Linked DNA regions of Astyanax mexicanus. The protein of the gene in region 1 interacts with the protein of each later gene in a pairwise test. Links are inferred from orthologs where the notes say so. Each region holds a gene or a part of one and is shown on either strand. Other genes may lie near its edges. The genes, in order: ergic3 and apolipoprotein L2-like.

Region 1 (8,960 bases):
GGTTAGGTTGGGTCAGGTTGGGTTAGGTTGGTTGGGTTGGGTTAGGTTGGGTGGGGTTGGGTCAGGTTGGGTTGGGTTGGGTCAGGTTGGGTTACGTTGGGTGGGGTTGGGTCAGGTTGGGTTGGGTTGGTTGGGTTGGGTTAGGTTGGGTGGGGTTGGGTCAGGTTGGTTTGATTTGGGTTGGGTCAGGTTGGGTGAGGTTGGGTGGGGTTGGGTTAGGTTGGGTTAGGTTGGGTGGGGTTGGGTCAGGTTGGGTGGGGTTAGGTTGGGTTGGGTTGGGTTAGGTGGGGTTGGGTTGGGTTAGGTGGGGTTGGGTTGGGTTAGGTGGGGTTGGGTTGGGTCAGGTTGGTTTGGTTTGGGTTGGGTCAGGTTGGGTGGGGTTGGGTCAGGTTGGGTTAGGTTGGGTGGGGTTGGGTCAGGTTGGGTTAGGTTGGGTTAGGTGGGGTTGGGTCAGGTTGGTTTGGTTTGGGTTGGGTCAGGTTGGGTTAGGTGGGGTTGGGTCAGGTTGGTTTGGTTTGGGTTGGGTCAGGTTGGGTTAGGTTGGGTCGGGTTGGGTTAGGTTGGGTTGGGTTGGGTTAGGTTAAATTATTGCTGGACATTAAGGACAAATAAGGAAAAAATTTTAAACATTTTTAAATAGATTTTTAATATAAACAACTATTGAGAAAAAATTATGAATTAAATGTAAAATTTGATGAGATTGAAGTTGATTTATTTGCTCTGCAGTAAGACAACATTTGAATCTGTCAGGATTTGCTTAAGTCTGAAATTTGACTGGGAAATTTTTTTACGCTTCTGTAATTCCAGTCAAGCATTTTGGTTTAAGAACCCATGAAACCAATAAGAAGCCATTACTGGAGGACAGTAATCCAGAGTTAATCAGTCTAAAAATCTATAGGACCCACTTTTTATTGTGTTATAAATACACAGTTTTACATGATGTAAAACATATAATACATATTTTCTCCCAGACCCACCCTGGAGCATCTAAACCCATCCAGCTCTCATGAGCTCCAGAACAACCTTCTGCCTCACAAAAACCTCCAGCATCTCAAACTCAACTTTTTAATTAGTAAAATAAAGATTAAATATTTTGTATTTTGTGCAGAAATGCTGATGAAAACCCAGTAAAGCTCTTTTACAGAAAGTGGAAGAAGAAAGATAAGTCTTACGGTTCTGTAGAGATGAGTTACAGCTCTGTCGTCAGTCTGAGACTCTGAGATTCTGAAGTTCAGACACTTTCAGACTGTGGGATTGGTCTCCTCTGAGCTGTTTGTGTTTTTCTGTCCAATAGAGCAGCTTTATGCAAACAGCAGCTGCTCATTATTCAAAGGTGTGCTTTTAGGATTGATATAATTTACTGCAGTTTATTTTAAAATATTTTTTTCCCAAATTGCAGGTTATGAAGCTCAATGTTTTGAAGTTCTCTATTCCTAGAAGCACATTGTATTAAATCTTATTAAATCGTATTAAAGGTTCAGATCTTCCTGGTTCTTATACAGACTTGTGTAGAGATTTTGCTGATTTATATCAGGTGTAGCTCCTTTACTGATAAAGCTCTAATTGTTTGAGATTTTCATATTATAATTAATAAGTATTCTTATTCTTAGTAAAGTATTCTTAATATGCTTAGTAATAATAACAGCTATAATTATTTTCAGATACGGGGGACTGTAGAGAGATTTAGATATAGGTAACATACTCAGGTGAATAGTGTTTGTTAAACGTTACACACGTCTTCTCTCGCTCTGTTATCAGACAGAATTCCACTGCAGTTTAAGGTGAAATTTTCGATTAAGGATTATTATTATGCACTGAATATTAACTGGATTTGTCCAAGAGCAAGTAATCAGATTCACACAGTGATTTAGATTTCCTAATACAGCTGTGAATTAATTTCTAATGCAGTGAGAATTTTCCCATCTGTCTAAGATTCCAGTCTTTATTTCTGCCTTAAGAAAGGAGATTTTGTATGTAATGCTAAAAACACACCTTCTGATTTACAACATATAAACTCCTGTACTGGTTTACAGATCTTACAAGCTTTATACCAGTTACTCAAACCAGTAACACCAATAAGGCTGAACAGCAGAGTGGAGACTACTAGTAATAGTGAGCTACTTTAACAACAACTCATCACATCAAAACCTAATCAACAGATACTAAAAGTCATAACTCAACATATCAACAGATCACTATACCATGATCACTACACCATGATCCCTAGCACATGTCCCCAGAGGCAGAGTGAATCACAGGTGTGATTTATGTAAATGCTCGGTACACTTGTTTGTGCGGATTTGTGTAGATGTATATGTGAATTTGAATAAACAAAAACTCTCAGCAGCTGCTCGCATCACTCAGGTACCGAGAGAGTAGAACAGAGACGCTGGATCTTACGGTGGCCCTGAAGTGCAAAACAAATTAACATGTCAGAAAACAAAATTACAAAAACTAAAACACATTTACAAAACTTAAAACAAATTTACAAGACGCAAAACACTTTTACAAATACTGAAACACTTTTACAAACACTGAAACACTTTTACCAGCACTAAAACACTTTTACAAACGCTGAAACACTTTTACAAATACTGAAACACTTTTACAAATGCTAAAACACTTTTACAAATACTGAAACACTTTTACAAACGCTGAAACACTTTTACAAATACTGAAACACTTTTACAAACGCTGAAACACTTTTACAAACGCTGAAACACTTTTACAAACGCTGAAACACTTTTACAAACTGCGATTTCTGACGGAAAGGGAGGGTCTAACACACAGGAAGTGCTTGATGCGGACCCTCCTTGTCAGTCAAGCTGCGTTACGATGAGAGAGTTGAGTTATGAACACCAAACTATGTTTTGTGGCACGTATTTTAGCAGCAGCAGTAAATACTTAAACTATCCCTGTCCTGTTGCTACCCCCGCCGCGGGGTTCACCTAATACCCCGGGGGTTCAGCTAATGCCACGCGGCCATCAGCCACTACCCCCGCCGCGGGGTTCACCTAATGCCCGGCGGCCATCAGCCACTGCCCCGCGGTTATCAGCCACTGCCCCCGCCGCGGGGTTCACCTAATACCCCGGGGGTTCAGCCACTGCCCCTCGGTTATCAGTCACTGCCCCCGCCGCGGGGTTCAGCTAATGCCCGGCGGCCATCAGCCACTGCGCCGCGGTTATCAGCCACTGCCCCCGCCGCGGGGTTCTCCTAATACCCCGGGGGTTCAGCCACTGCCCCGCGGTTATCAGCCACTGCCCCCGCCGCGGGGTTCAGCTAATGCCCGGCGGCCATCAGCCACTGCCCCGCGGGGTTCAGGTAATACAGTACAGGAGTGGCTGAACCCCGCGGGGCAGTGGCTGAACTCCGTGGGGCATTAGCTGAACCCCGCGGCGGGGGCAGTGGCTGATGGCCGCGTGGCATTAGCTGAACCCCCGGGGTATTAGGTGAACCCCGCGGCGGGGGCAGTGGCTGATGGCCGCGTGGCATTAGCTGAACCCCCGGGGTATTAGGTGAACCCCGCGGCGGGGGCAGTGGCTGATGGCCGCGTGGCATTAGCTGAACCCCCGGGGTATTAGGTGAACCCCGCGGCGGGGGTAGCAACAGGACAGGGATAGTTTAAGTATTTACTGCTGCTGCTAAAATACGTGCCACAAAACATAGTTTAGTGTCCATAACTCCACTCTCTCATCGTAACGCAGCTTGACTGACAAGGAGGGTCCGCATCAAGCACTTCCTGTGTGTTAGACCCTCCCTTTCCGTCAGAAATCGCAGTTTGTAAAAGTGTTTCAGCGTTTGTAAAAGTGTTTCAGCGTTTGTAAAAGTGTTTCAGCGTTTGTAAAAGTGTTTTAGCGTTTGTAAAAGTGTTTCAGCGTTTGTAAAAGTGTTTCAGCGTTTGTAAAAGTGTTTCAGCGTTTGTAAAAGTGTTTCAGCGTTTGTAAAAGTGTTTTAGCGTTTGTAAAAGTGTTTCAGTGTTTGTAAAAGTGTTTCAGTGTTTGTAAAAGTGTTTCAGTATTTGTAAAAGTGTTTTGCGTCTTGTAAATTTGTTTTAAGTTTTGTAAATGTGTTTTAGTTTTTGTAATTTTGTTTTCTGACATGTTAATTTGTTTTGCACTTCAGGGCCACCGTAGGATCTGCATTACTGAGCCTGAAATATAGAAAATTATTAACAGTGTAAATATCATTCAACCTGTTTTATCCAGCTACATAACATACACAATCTGCCATAACCTTAAACAGTAATTGATCTACAGATCTACAGTAACTGATCTACAGATCTACAGTAACTGATCTACAGTAACTGATCTACAGATTTACAGTAACTGATCTACAGATCTACAGTAACTGATCTACAGTAACTGATCTACAGTAACTGATCTACAGATTTACAGTAACTGATCTACAGTAACTGATCTACAGTAACTGATCTACAGATCTACAGTAACTGATCTACAGTAACTGATCTACAGTAACTGATCTACAGATCTACAGTAACTGATCTACAGTAACTGATCTACAGATTTACAGTAACGGATCTACAGTAAATGCTCTACAGATCTACAGTAACTGATCTACAGTAACTGATCTACAGATCTACAGTAACTGATCTACAGTAACAGATCTACAGTAACTGATCTACATATCTACAGTAACTAATCTACAGTAACTGATCTACAGTAACTGATCTACATATCTACAGTAACAGATCTACAGTAACTGATCTACAGATCTACAGTAACTGATCTACAGTAACTGATCTACAGTAACTGATCTACAGTAACTGATCTACATATCTACAGTAACAGATCTACAGTAACTGATCTACAGATCTACAGTAACTGATCTACAGTAAATGCTCTACAGATCTACAGTAACTGATCTACAGTAACTGATCTACAGTAACTGATCTACAGATCTACAGTAACTAATCTACAGATCTACAGTAACTGATCTACAGTAAATGCTCTACAGATCTACAGTAACTGATCTACAGCTCTACAGTAACTGATCTACAGTAACTGATCTACAGTAACAGATCTACAGTAACTGATCTACAGATCTACAGTAACTGATCCACAATAACTGATCTACAGCAGATCCTCAGACAGTAAATCCCGTGTTGTGTAGATCTATAGTAACCGACGCGGTGTGATCTGATTGGCAGAGAGAGTGCGGTGTATCCGGTGCGGAGCGGAAGTGAACCGGATCGCAGAGGGAAAGATGGAGGCGCTGAATAAACTGAAGCAGTTTGACGCTTATCCCAAAACTCTGGAGGACTTCAGGATCAAAACCTGCGGCGGAGCGACCGGTGAGTTCCTGCCCCGCCCAGACCGAACCGAACCCCGGCGGGAAGCGGCGGGTCACCGCGCTACACTCACCCTGCTGTAGGAACTATCCTGTCCACCTTAAATCTCCCCGCTGCTACAGCAGTGTCGCCTGATGCGCTGGAATAGAACAGCCGCGACATTTAAGGTGGAACTCACAGTTCCTACAAACACTGAACTCAACACTGCATTTTACTGAAGATTTAAATGAAGCTTTAAAGTGAAACAGCATTTTAACCCTGTGTGGCTGTTTTCTTATGTTTAATATATATGTAATTATAAGATTATTATATGTACCTTCATTATTTTGTTATTATTGTACTGTTTCGTTATTTTGTATGTGGCTATTTTGTTTACTTTCACTTATTAAAACACTGTTATGAATTGTTGCCTCTACTAAACATTATGCAGCTACAAAACGAAGCGAGCATGATAAATCAGTGGTTCTTATTTTATTCATGTAAAAACTGGATCTAAATAGTAGGCTAAAATATATATTTTCTAAACAAATACAAAGATCATGCTATAGGGGGTTAAACTGAGCTCAGGTGCTGCTGTCCAGCGATCAATTTAATAATGAAGTTAATAATAGAACAGAATAGTATTCTGCTGTGCTAAACTAAGAGAATTCGTATTAAACCCTGAAGACTAACTTTTTCCCTGTTTTCAGTTACGATCATCAGCGGACTGATCATGCTGATCCTGTTTTTCTCAGAGTTACAGTATTATCTTACCAAGGAGGTGAGTGTGCTTTAAATTAACATAAAATAAATAATCACTGTAATTTAAATACTAATCTTATTATTAATATTAATTTTAAGAAACACAATACAGGAAGATGATAAATGCTGCACTGAACAACTAGATTTATACACAGAGCCCCTTTCCTCCCCTATACTCTCACCACACTTAACCCCCCGACCCCACTCCTTCTTATCCGTAATCATAGTAAAAACATTTATCAGTTCTAGTACTACTACCAATACCACTAATACTACTCTTAATAATAATAATTATGCTAATATTAGTACTATATCAATTTTACATTACAATTACTTTTGTTATCACTACTTCTACTACTAATTACAGTAATAGCAGTTTTAGTACCAGATTCTGCAACTACTGATAATCATTTTGTAGCACAATTAAAACATACATACAGTTTAATATAAAAACAATCTGATAAAACATAACAGTTCGAGTAGAAATGTTATACATTGTTTTCCTGTAATAGAACTAATTAATCAGTGTTGCTGATTTGTTTATACAGGCTGATGTTCTCCTGCTGTGCTCGAGGCCTGCAGAACCTTCATTGTGTCATTCTGTTTTAATGACAATTCATTAAAAATTAGGACATTTATTGTCTCTGGTTTCAGGTCCACCCTGAACTGTTTGTGGACACTTCGAGAGGAGACAAGCTGAAGATCAACATTGATGTTGTGTTTCCTCACATGCCGTGTGCCTGTGAGTAACTCTCCTGATCCCCATGTTCTGTACAAAACTGCGAGGGATTATTATTGTTTTTCATCATGTTAAAGATTAAATGTTACTGATAAATGATAAACCATGTTTAAATCATGACTGTGATTACCCAGTTTATAAAACCCAGTTCAGTAAAAATCCAAAGCTTTTACCATCACTTACTAAAATTAATATTTCCATCATAGTCTGGAGTTCTGCACCGGATCACAATATGCTCAAATATCTCAATATTACCTCATATATAACCGTAATACACTCTAATTAACAAAACCTGCAGTACAACACAGTGAAGTAACGTTACGACTAGATTATATGACATATAAAATGTAATATAGTATAAATATAATATAAATAATATATATTTTTTTTAACCAGTCCATCAATAAGCTCTTCAGCTCGGACTTTTTATTTACTCTTTATTCTCCGGAAGAATTCTCTTTTGAAGCTGCAATTCTATTTCTTGAAAAATTATGAATAATTGATTAAGTCCTGCCTATAGTCCCTTTAAATCTTGTAAACTGATTTTTGATAAAGCGTGCTTATGTTTTCAAATTAATAAATTTTTACCATTTAATACATTTTTACTTTTTTTAACTTTTAAAATTGACGTGTTGAAAATCCTTATATCTCATACTCATATCCCGGTACAGTATTAGGTTTTATCAGCATCACCCAGCATTACATATCAGAGTTTATTTATTGTTATTTCTGACTCTCAGATCTGAGTATTGATGCGATGGACGTGGCGGGAGAGCAGCAGCTGGACGTGGAGCACAACCTGTTTAAACAGAGGCTGGATAAAGACGGAAAACCCGTCAGTTCTGAGGCAGAAAAACACGGTTAGTATCTGTTTAACGTTCCTGATCTTGAATTTAACGTCTGTTAGTCCAGTTCTCTAAACTCTCCTTCTAAACTTTTCCTGCCTGTAGTTTTTACTTACTATATAAAATCAGCTTTTTACTAAAATGTTTTTGTGGTGTGTAAATCTCACCCTGCGTCTGAATCCTCAGTAGAAACTCGATCTGATTGCTGTTTATTTCAGACTGGAGTTCAGTTCTGCTGCAGTGTGAGAAACGGGACTGAACAATCAATAAAGAAGAAAAATATATGTATTTAGGGGTGATTTTTTTCAGGAAGAATGAAACTGTAATATTTATACTAGAGCTGATCGGTGATGGTTGGCAGCAGTACCGTACTCTAAATAAAGTACGTTCGTTTAAGGAGGAATGTTTTATTAAGTTTGTATAATTAATAAATATAAATAAACTGAATGTTCAGTTTTGTGTTTTGTGAATAGATCTGGGTCAGGAGGAGGGAGAGATATTCGACCCCAGTAAACTGGATCCTGAGCGCTGCGAGAGCTGCTACGGAGCCGAGACTGAAGATCTGAAGTGAGTCTTTAGTTTTAATCTTCTGCTTCAGTAAAACTGGACAACCGGTTCAACCTGATTTATTCTGCATCTTAAACACAGAGAGATGGAATGTAGAAAAACTGAGTTTTAGTTTGGAGAAGAAGAAGAAGAAGAAGAACCGGTTCTCTGCTTAAAAAACTGGAGTGAAATTCAGATCTGATCAGCAGAAAAAGGAGCTTCTGTTAGTCACTAAGAGAAGATCAAATAATATATCTGATTAAATTCTGAAAATTCTCCACACAGTTCAGTCCCACAGCACCCAGTAAACACTAAATACTAAATACAGTAAAAGCTGCTGACAGTGTTTCTGTAGGAAAACAAGAAGAAAACCAAGAGCACGTTCTGCTTCAACAGTTTCACACAGATAAAACTTTAATTTTATATTTTATCCTGCGTTATCCTGTGGCCAGCCCTCCTGTACACATTTAAATGATAATATTATATATGAATTTAAGTGTCAGATTTTAAGGCCCATCACAATAACTGTTTGTTTGAACAGTTTATTGTCATTTAAAAACTATTTTGTGCCACTGGTTTACTTAATGATAATGTAGCATAACAATGTGATTACACACTTTTTAAAGAGCAGTTGACTTTTTATAATAATGATTAAGCTACATCAGAGATCAGTTTTGTACTTTAGAACTGATTCTGAGACTCTGATGTTTAGATGCTGTAATACGTGTGACGACGTGCGAGAGGCGTATCGGAGGCGAGGCTGGGCCTTTAAAACCCCCG
Region 2 (8,676 bases), on another chromosome or scaffold:
TCTTTTAACTATATATTTTTCCTACTAATATGTATACTGTTACTTTATAATTCCATTCACTCTTTATTTTAAAACATTTTTATTCTATGTTTTACTCAAATAAAAATTTGAGGTGATCTTTTGTTATACATTAATTGCGGTTCTTTCTATAACTATATGAGGATATTAAAACACTTTTTTGCGTAAACACCGTTTTAATTGCTCTTTTCACCATTGTGGCCAAGTTTCATGATTTAGAAATGAAAGAAATATGGCTTTACTATTACTGACATAAATTTAATAATGTTACTGAGATACTATACTATAGGTGTAGACAAAACCCGTCTAATTACTCTCATTTGCCCACATCAGTTTGGAGAATATATTTTATTTTCTATTAGTTACAAAGTCTTACAACATGAGTTTTTTTTAAATATGTAAAACCCAACATTAGATTATTATTAAACAGAAAACAGTAACATTTTACATTGACTTGCAATAAAAGTTAAATACAGATCATTCCTGCATTATTTAATGTTAAGCTGTGCTGCATTCTCCCTGCAGTCTGTGGATAACCACCCTTTTAAGAAAATAAAGCCCCTTTAAAATCAGTGAATTTTTACACTGTTTTATTTTCAAGGAATTGAAGACACTTTCTGTATGTTCAGTTCAATTCAATTAATAATCAAAATTTTACTTAATATTTCTCATATTGTAATAAAATCAAACTAGTTTCAATATTGTCAGAAAATGTAAATGTATGTATATATGTACAGAAGAACAATTTATCATGACTGCAGCTCTAAACCAATCACTAAAATTGTCCAGTTATGCAGCTTGCATGCAAGTGAAAGTAAAACATAAACAAGCCTTCAGTCTTCAGTCTAAAGTCTTATAAATATGATGCATAAAGTACAAAAAAAATCCAAAATACACAAAAGAATAAAAATATTAAAAATATGCTCTACAGTATTTGAGTATATTTTAACCACATCAGTTTCTGCTATTTATAGGTTTATGTTTAAGTAAAATGAACATTGTTGTTTTATTCTATAAACTACAGACAACATTTCTCCCAAATTCCCAAATAAAAATATTATATTTAGAGCTTTTATTTACAGAAAATGAGAAATGACTGACCTCAAATAATGCAAAGAGAAAAAATTCATATTCATAAAGTTTTAAGAGTTCAGAAATAATCAATATTTGGTGGAATAATCCTGGTTGGTTTTTAATCACAGTTTTTTTTCATGCATCTTGGCATCATGTTCTCCTCCACCAGTCTTACACACTGCTTTTGGATAACTTTATGCTGCTTTACTCCTGGTGCAAAAATTCAAGCAGTTCAGTTTGGTGGTTTGATGGTTTGTGATCATCCATCTTCCTCTTGATTATATTCCAGAGGTTTTTAATTTGATAAAATCAAAGAATTCTTTGGTCTACAGTGATTGAGTGTTTTACAAAATGATAATACAAGTTTCAGTTCATTTTTTTATTTTTTTATCTTTGCGTCAAATTGCTGTCTGACTTCCTGAAGTCGATCCAGTGTTTGGTTCAGGTGATCAACATTTTCTTTCATTCCTTTAATGAACTTGCATATGGATGATTTTCCGTTTCCATTTCTCCGCTCTTTGTTCATTTCTCTGAGTTGTTTAAGATAGTAGCCAATAAGCAGAAGATCCATCAGGAGGAAGAGACATGCCAGGGCTCCTGTGATCACTCCGAATGCTGTTACTGCTTTAGATACCTGTGCTTCCTCTGCGCCTAAATTAACATAGACACCCAGACGTACGGCTTCAGCAGCGTAAAAGGGCTCTGTTCGTTAGCTTGTGATCTAGGCATTAAATCGATTTCGGACCCCTTGAAGTTGATCCAGTGTTTCAGTAAGTTGACCAACAGTGACCTTCATTCCCTTAATGAATTTACTTATGGCTGATTTTCCATTTCCATTATTAATATTGTATAGTTCTTTGGCGTCTTTGACAACGAAGACAACGTCCAGCACCAGAAAGAGACCTGCCAGAACTCCTGTAACTGCTCCAGCTGCTTTTACGGTTCTAGATACCTGTGCTGTTACTTTACCTATTTCAACAACGTTAACCAGTCGTAGTAGTTCTGCACTGTATCCTACCCCTCTGCCTAATCCGAATCCAATCTGTGCTTTTCGCCCTGATGGATCTGTAGGGTCAAATTGTTGTATCTCATCCAGCCTGATCTCTATTTCTTCCAGGTGTTTGAGAATGGGGGGAAGTTTGTCCTGAACTGTTTTCAGAATTTTTTCTATTTCTGTTCGTGAAACTTTCTGATTAATCAGGTCAGTGATGTTTGATGCCGCCCCTGCTACGCCTCCAGAAACAGCTACTCCTACACCCACTCCTGTTACAATCAGTGAGGCTCCCAGAGTAAATGGAGTGAGGGCAAGACCTACGATAGTCAAGATTCCTCCAACTGCACTAATCACTCCTCCTGAGAGGCTTCCAATAGTGGTGTTACGATGAATCTTCTCCACTCTCTCAGTGATTTCTTTCAGTTTATTGATTTGATTCTGGAGTTCAGAGATACTGCTGTCGAAGAGGGATGTAAATAAATTTATATTCCTAATGAGAGACTCCTCTGGTGGAACCCCTGTTGAGCACATTGGAGTTAAATTAGTGGAAGTGCATTTTTTTAACTTGTTGAAAAAAAAATGCTGCAAAACTTAACATACAGTTACAGTGGAATGAAAAAGTTTGGGCACCGCTGATCATTTTCATGGTTTTCCTTTATAAATCATTGGTTGTTTGGGCTATTTCATCACTGAAACATATAGGGATGGATACACTAGACCCTAGACCTGTGGTGACTCCACTTCTGAGAGACGCATCACTGCACTTCATGCTTAAATACAATTATTTAAAAGAAATAATGAGATAAATCTTACCGTTGTGTATAGAGGGAGGCTGCTCTATGCTGTGATTTGAATCAGAGCTGTCATCGCTGTCAGAGCTGCCGTATGTGGAGTTGATGAGTAGTTTGTGCTCGTCTGATGAGTCCATTTAATTGTTTTAATGATCCTTCTTGTTTAACTGAGCGTTGACAGAATGTTTATGAAGTACCGCCCAGTTCACTTTCAGCTTCAAAGTCAATCCTGTAACCAGAAGAAACCAGAAAAATTAACTGCTAGAAATACGCTGGCATTAGACCTCCAATAACAAATGTAGTTGGGTAATCAAGGTCCAGATATACAGCTCTGACGCAGAGATCACTTCAGTTTCTGAATCAGTTTCTCTGATTTTGCTATTTATAGGTTTATATTTGAGTAAAATGAACATTGTTGTTTTATTCTATAAACTACAGACAACATTTCTCCCAAATTACAAATAAAAATATTCTCATTTAGAGCATTTATTTACAGAAAATGAGAAATGACTGAAATAACAAAAAAGATGCAGAGCTTTCAGACCTTAAAGCATACCTCGAGCAGAAAAAGTTTCATACTGAAAAAAATACTTTTAACTATATTTATGAAGATTTCCAAACTTTAACATAACAGCAGGGTTAATCACAGTTTTTCATGCATCTTGTCATCATGTTCTCCTCCACCAGTCTTACACACTGCTTTTGGATAACTTTATGCTGCTTTACTCCTGGTGTAAAAATTCAAGCAGTTCAGTTTGGTGGTTTGATGGTTCGTGATCATCCATCTTCCTCTTGATTATATTTTAGAGGGTTTCAATTGGATAAAATCAAAGAATTCTTTGGTCTACATTTTTAAGTGCTCTCTTATTTTCTTCCAGAGCTGTAAACTTTTCTAAGCTGTAACAATTCTTAATTGGTGTACAAATACTCCACTTAGAGGAATTAGAATACAAATTTGATGCCACAGACTGGAGTGAAAGTTTGGATTGACTTTAATAAACAGGGCCAAACCAGAAAACCTGGAATACTCACTCAATACTTATTGAGATTTTAAGAGATAAACCAACGCAAAGTAGCACATCATCGTGAAGTGCAATGAAAATGATAGTTTACAAAATTTTATTCAAATAAAAACGTCAAAAAGTGTGATGCAAGTATTCATTCCCCTTTACTCTCAACCACTTAAATAAAATCCAGTGCAGTCAGTTGCCATCAAAAGTCATATTTTGTTTAATTAGAATAGATAGATTAATGAGTTAATAGAGTTAATCCAGCTGTGTGTAATTTAGTCTCTGTACAAATACAGCTGTTCTCTGAAGACCTCAGTAGTTTGTTTGTTAGTGAACACTAGTGAACACACAGCATCATGAAGACCAACAATGAAAAACTCACCAGACAGGCCAGAGATAAAGTTGCGGAGAAGAAGATAAAGGTTTAAAGCAGGGTTAGATTATAAAAACACATCCCAAGCTTTGATCATCCCAAACAGCTCTGTTCATCAATCCATCATCTAAAAGCCAATAAACCTGAAAAAGTATTCTACAACTGTTCCTACAATCCTACCAAGATATGAACCAATCATCCACCCAAACTAACAGATCCAGCAAATAGAGCCGAGAGGCCCATGATCACTCTGGAGGAGCTGCAGAGATCCACAGCTCAGGAGGATGAGGAGAATCTGTCCACAGGACAACTATGAGTCCTGCACACCCAGTCCCCACTGTGAAACATCACACTTTTCAGATTTTTATTTGATTACAATAAAAAAACATGTATAATTTTGGTTTAATATCTCAGTAATGAGCTACTATATAAAAAGACAATATGTGAAAAAGTTCAAGGGCCACAAAAAATTTGCAAGCCACTGTACATGATACTAGGCTTAACACACACTTCCTTTTCCTGAAAATTGTGTATTTAAATATATAACAATAACAATAATGTACTTGAACCTATATGCGGAATAATTAAATTGTATCTTTCCTCCTTGAACATACATTGTTACCTTAGCTTAATCTGTATTTCAGTATACTTTTAAAAGTACACTTTATTTGGCTGTGCTAATTTTGTTCAGGTAATGTACTTAATAAAAATATATGCTTAGTATAGTTTCATAAAACATGAATTTTGCTACCAAAACTGTCATTTTGTGTTTACAAATTAAAACTGTGATAATGTGATAAACGGTTTTGTCTAAAAACTTTACTTTAAAAGTTTACTTTAGTTAGTTTAGTGTAAGTAAAAGATTGAAAGATTGAACAGCTGATTCTTAGATTTGTAGATTTGTTTTTACCAGTTTATATACACTCATCAAAATGAATGTGATGTTAAATCCTCTCTTTAATCACACTTTTGATATGTTTTCAATGTTCAGTCGGACACTGCTCACACAAATTATGCTTGAATTGTATTAAATAGTGGTGAAAATAACATATAACATATGACTATAAACATTTTTTTTTTTACAAAGGATGCTGTGGTGAGCAGTAATCTATTTATTTATAAAGCTTTATAAAATCATAGATGGCACTTACCTCACAGGTAGGATCTCCTGAAGTGATGGAAGTAATGTAAGGGAGGTTCAGGCTGTGTTCACTTATTATTTCACTTTGTCACATGTTTCTGGAGAGTAAATATTTGCTAAAAGAGCAGTTTATTTCACTCTCTGTTAAAGATAAAACATAATATATAAAAAATAATAATTCAGAAATAATAAATCATGCTGGATTCCTATTTAGGATTTATGGGCATTAAGCCCAGTTTTTGTCTATATTTTCATTTCAATAGAAAAACTCTATTTAAAATACTGTCAAATCTTAAAATAAATCCAAGACTAGGCTTAATCCCTGAGGAGGTTTAGAGGTTTAGAACACATATTAAAATATAGATATAACCTACGGGGTTAAATGTCTGAATCTCCTCACTGTAACCTCTTTTAGTTTCTTTTTGTTTCCATGATTGTTTTTTTAGATGCTTGCTGAAGGATCATTGCTGTCATTGTTTATTCTCCTGGTCAGTATTTACATTAAAGTGCTCATATCCTGCTTCCTCACCACCTGACAATGTTTTATATAATCAGGCATTTAGTGTTTGACAAAAACATCAGGACACTTTCTAGTCATCGTTTCTTTTAAAATAAATGATATTAAATGAGTTTATTCTGCTTTTGTTGCAATAACTGTCTCTCTACTGTCCAGAGACGTCTTTCAAAAGTTTGTCATGTGCACAGTAAGAAACGATAAGAAAAGTTTCCTCATACAATGAAATTCTTTCTTTTGTTCCTCACTAAAGGCAAATGTAGCTTTTATCCCCCCTCCCAAGCGCAATGCGAGGAACGACTAATGACGGGGCCCTTTCAATGCGTCTGGGGGCCCCAAGCAAAATGGACCAAAGCCTACAGGACCCACAGCATAGACACACTGTTTATGTTCACCCACACATTTTTGCATTTTTAAATTTTACAGTATTTATCTTATCTAGAGTCACAAGGTTATTTCTATTATAGAGTTTGGCCACTGTAGTGCTAGGAGTCTTTCCTAAAGTTTTCTTATTGGTGTAGTACTCTTTCTGGTTTTATGTTGAGACTCTATGGGTTCTGCTAGCGTAGGATATGAAGTTAAACACAAAGATTACTTTAGTAGGGGATTTAAAAATAAATCAGATTTTTGCTGATCCAGCAAAAATGAGTGCAGTGTTGTTGTTGGTCTGTGTCGGGCAATAGGAGTGAGCTCTGTAATGTTCAGGGTTTAGCCTCAAAATATAAGGATAACTACTACTTTTTTTTTTTTTTTGATGCACGCCACTCGTAACGGGAGTGAGTGCAGTCAGAGACAACTGAGCATGTTCCTCGAGCAGAGCCCTCCCTCAGTTACTGGCAGTGTTTAAAAAAGGAAAGATCAGAACTAGAAAATGTTCAAGAAATGTCTTTATTACATCACTCAATTATAAGTAATTACGTTGGAACTTAACCAAGTAATTGGGCAAATAATTAATTTTAACTTTGTGTTTAATTCCACATAAAAAGCAAAAAGAAAATTATGAAGCTAAAATCATTTACACTGGTATAAAGCACTGCTAACAATAAAATGACTTAAGTCCAAAATAGATAATCAAGAGGAAGATGGATGATCACAAACCATCAAACCACCAAACTGAACTGCTTGAATTTTTGCACCAGGAGTAAAGCAGCATAAAGTTATCCAAAAGCAGTGTGTAAGACTGGTGGAGGAGAACATGATGCCAAGATGCATGAAATTAAAACTGTGATTAAAAACTACCAGGGTTATTCCACCAAATATTGATTTCTTGCCATTATTTCAGCCATTTCTATTCGCATTCCGCAAATAAATGCTCTAAATGACAATATTGTTTTTTTGGATTTGTAATTCGGGAGTAATGTTTATAGTCCGTAGTTTATAAAATAAAACAACAATGTTCATTTTACTCAAACATATAACTATAAATAGCAAAATCAGAAATACAGTATATATCGAATTCATCCTTCTTTTACGGTGTAAAGTAAAGCTGTGAAGCTTGTGTTAGCATATTGTGTTTTCTCATTAGCTCGTTAGCATGTTAGCTCGTTAGCATGCGTGGAGACGGGAGGCGCTGCAGCGTTTTGATGGCGCTCTTGATATCGCCCACTGCTTGCTTAAGAGTCTGTATGATTTCTTTCATCTTCTGGAGGAATTGAACCGTATTGGACTTGATTTGGCTGCTGCTGGGCGGATTCTCCAGTTCCTCCAGTTCTCTGTAATCGCTGACGATGAAGAAGATATCCAGCACGACGAAGATGCTGGACACTACAGTCATGACCGTGGCTACGGATCTGAGAGTCCTGCCTACAAGCATTCCTGATTCGGCGATGGTTTCCATTATTTCCTTCATCATTATTCCCCGTAATCTGAGGTTGAATTGACCCTCGTTCTCTCGCGGCAGCTTCTTGAGTTTAATCTGGATGTCCTCCAGGCACTTGTTGATGGGCGAGAGTCTTTTGTTAAATATTTCCAGGGCTTTTTCGATGTCGTCGCGCGACACTTTCTTATGGATGGCGCTCAAGACGTTGCAGGCGGCTGATGCTGCACCGCCACCTACAGCAACTATAGCCCCTGCTTCCGCTACAACCAGAGACGCACCAAATGTGAACGGCACCAGGACGAATCCCACCGCTGCAGTGATTCCTCCGACTGCTGCGAACACGCCCCCCACCAGGCTTCCGGCGGTGAAACTCCTGTGGATGTCCTCCACAGCTTTGGTGATTTCCCTCAGCTTACAGATTTGCTCCTGGAGTTCAGGGATGTTGCTGTCGGCGAGAGCGACGAGGAGCACCACCTTTTTATAAAATTCTGCGTATTCTCTGGTGGATTTCTGAAAACCTGTGAGGAAGATACAGAATGTAATTACGTTGATCCTCTTTTTTCCTATTATCTTTGGGGTCAATTTGACTTTAACCCTTAACAATTTTTTTTTCCATCAAAAATCTCAATTTGTGTTCTCAGCTTAATTACTCAGAAATCCCTTTAAACATAAACATAATCCATATATGGTTAAAAAAGGGCGGAGCTTACTCTTTCTAAAAATAGTGAATAATGACATCCCAGTGCGGTAAAGCTAAATCTACAAGAAACCCATTGAGAAAAACACCTAAAAAAGTGAAAAATCTCCTTCCCCGACCAATATTATTTACCTTTAGTGCTTCAAACATATTTATATGATGTTTCAAACCGAATAATATCATTAAATAAAGACCCAAAAGTGTCCACAGAAAAAGTGTGAAACTACCTGCTTTACTCAAACTAA

What was found.
Region 2: the proteins of ergic3 (region 1) and apolipoprotein L2-like interact in binary tests that used the Homo sapiens proteins (3 or more experiments, as listed by UniProt). The link is inferred for Astyanax mexicanus from reciprocal best matches to the Homo sapiens genes ERGIC3 and APOL2.

The regions. Positions count from the first base shown.
Region 1 is NC_064412.1:58,218,318-58,227,277, reverse strand, and holds the start of ergic3 (endoplasmic reticulum-Golgi intermediate compartment protein 3), read left to right. Parts: upstream 1-5,161; 5' UTR 5,162-5,224; coding exon 5,225-5,312; intron 5,313-5,998; coding exon 5,999-6,069; intron 6,070-6,704; coding exon 6,705-6,792; intron 6,793-7,529; coding exon 7,530-7,649; intron 7,650-8,107; coding exon 8,108-8,201; intron 8,202-8,892; coding exon 8,893-8,960. UniProt on the Homo sapiens protein: Possible role in transport between endoplasmic reticulum and Golgi. Positively regulates trafficking of the secretory proteins SERPINA1/alpha1-antitrypsin and HP/haptoglobin.
Region 2 is NC_064432.1:26,310,308-26,318,983, reverse strand, and holds apolipoprotein L2-like, read right to left. Parts: upstream 3,098-8,676; 5' UTR 3,015-3,097; coding exon 2,900-3,014; intron 2,605-2,899; coding exon 1,814-2,604; 3' UTR 1,145-1,813; downstream 1-1,144. Other genes in the region: apolipoprotein L3-like, read right to left, coding at 7,453-8,252.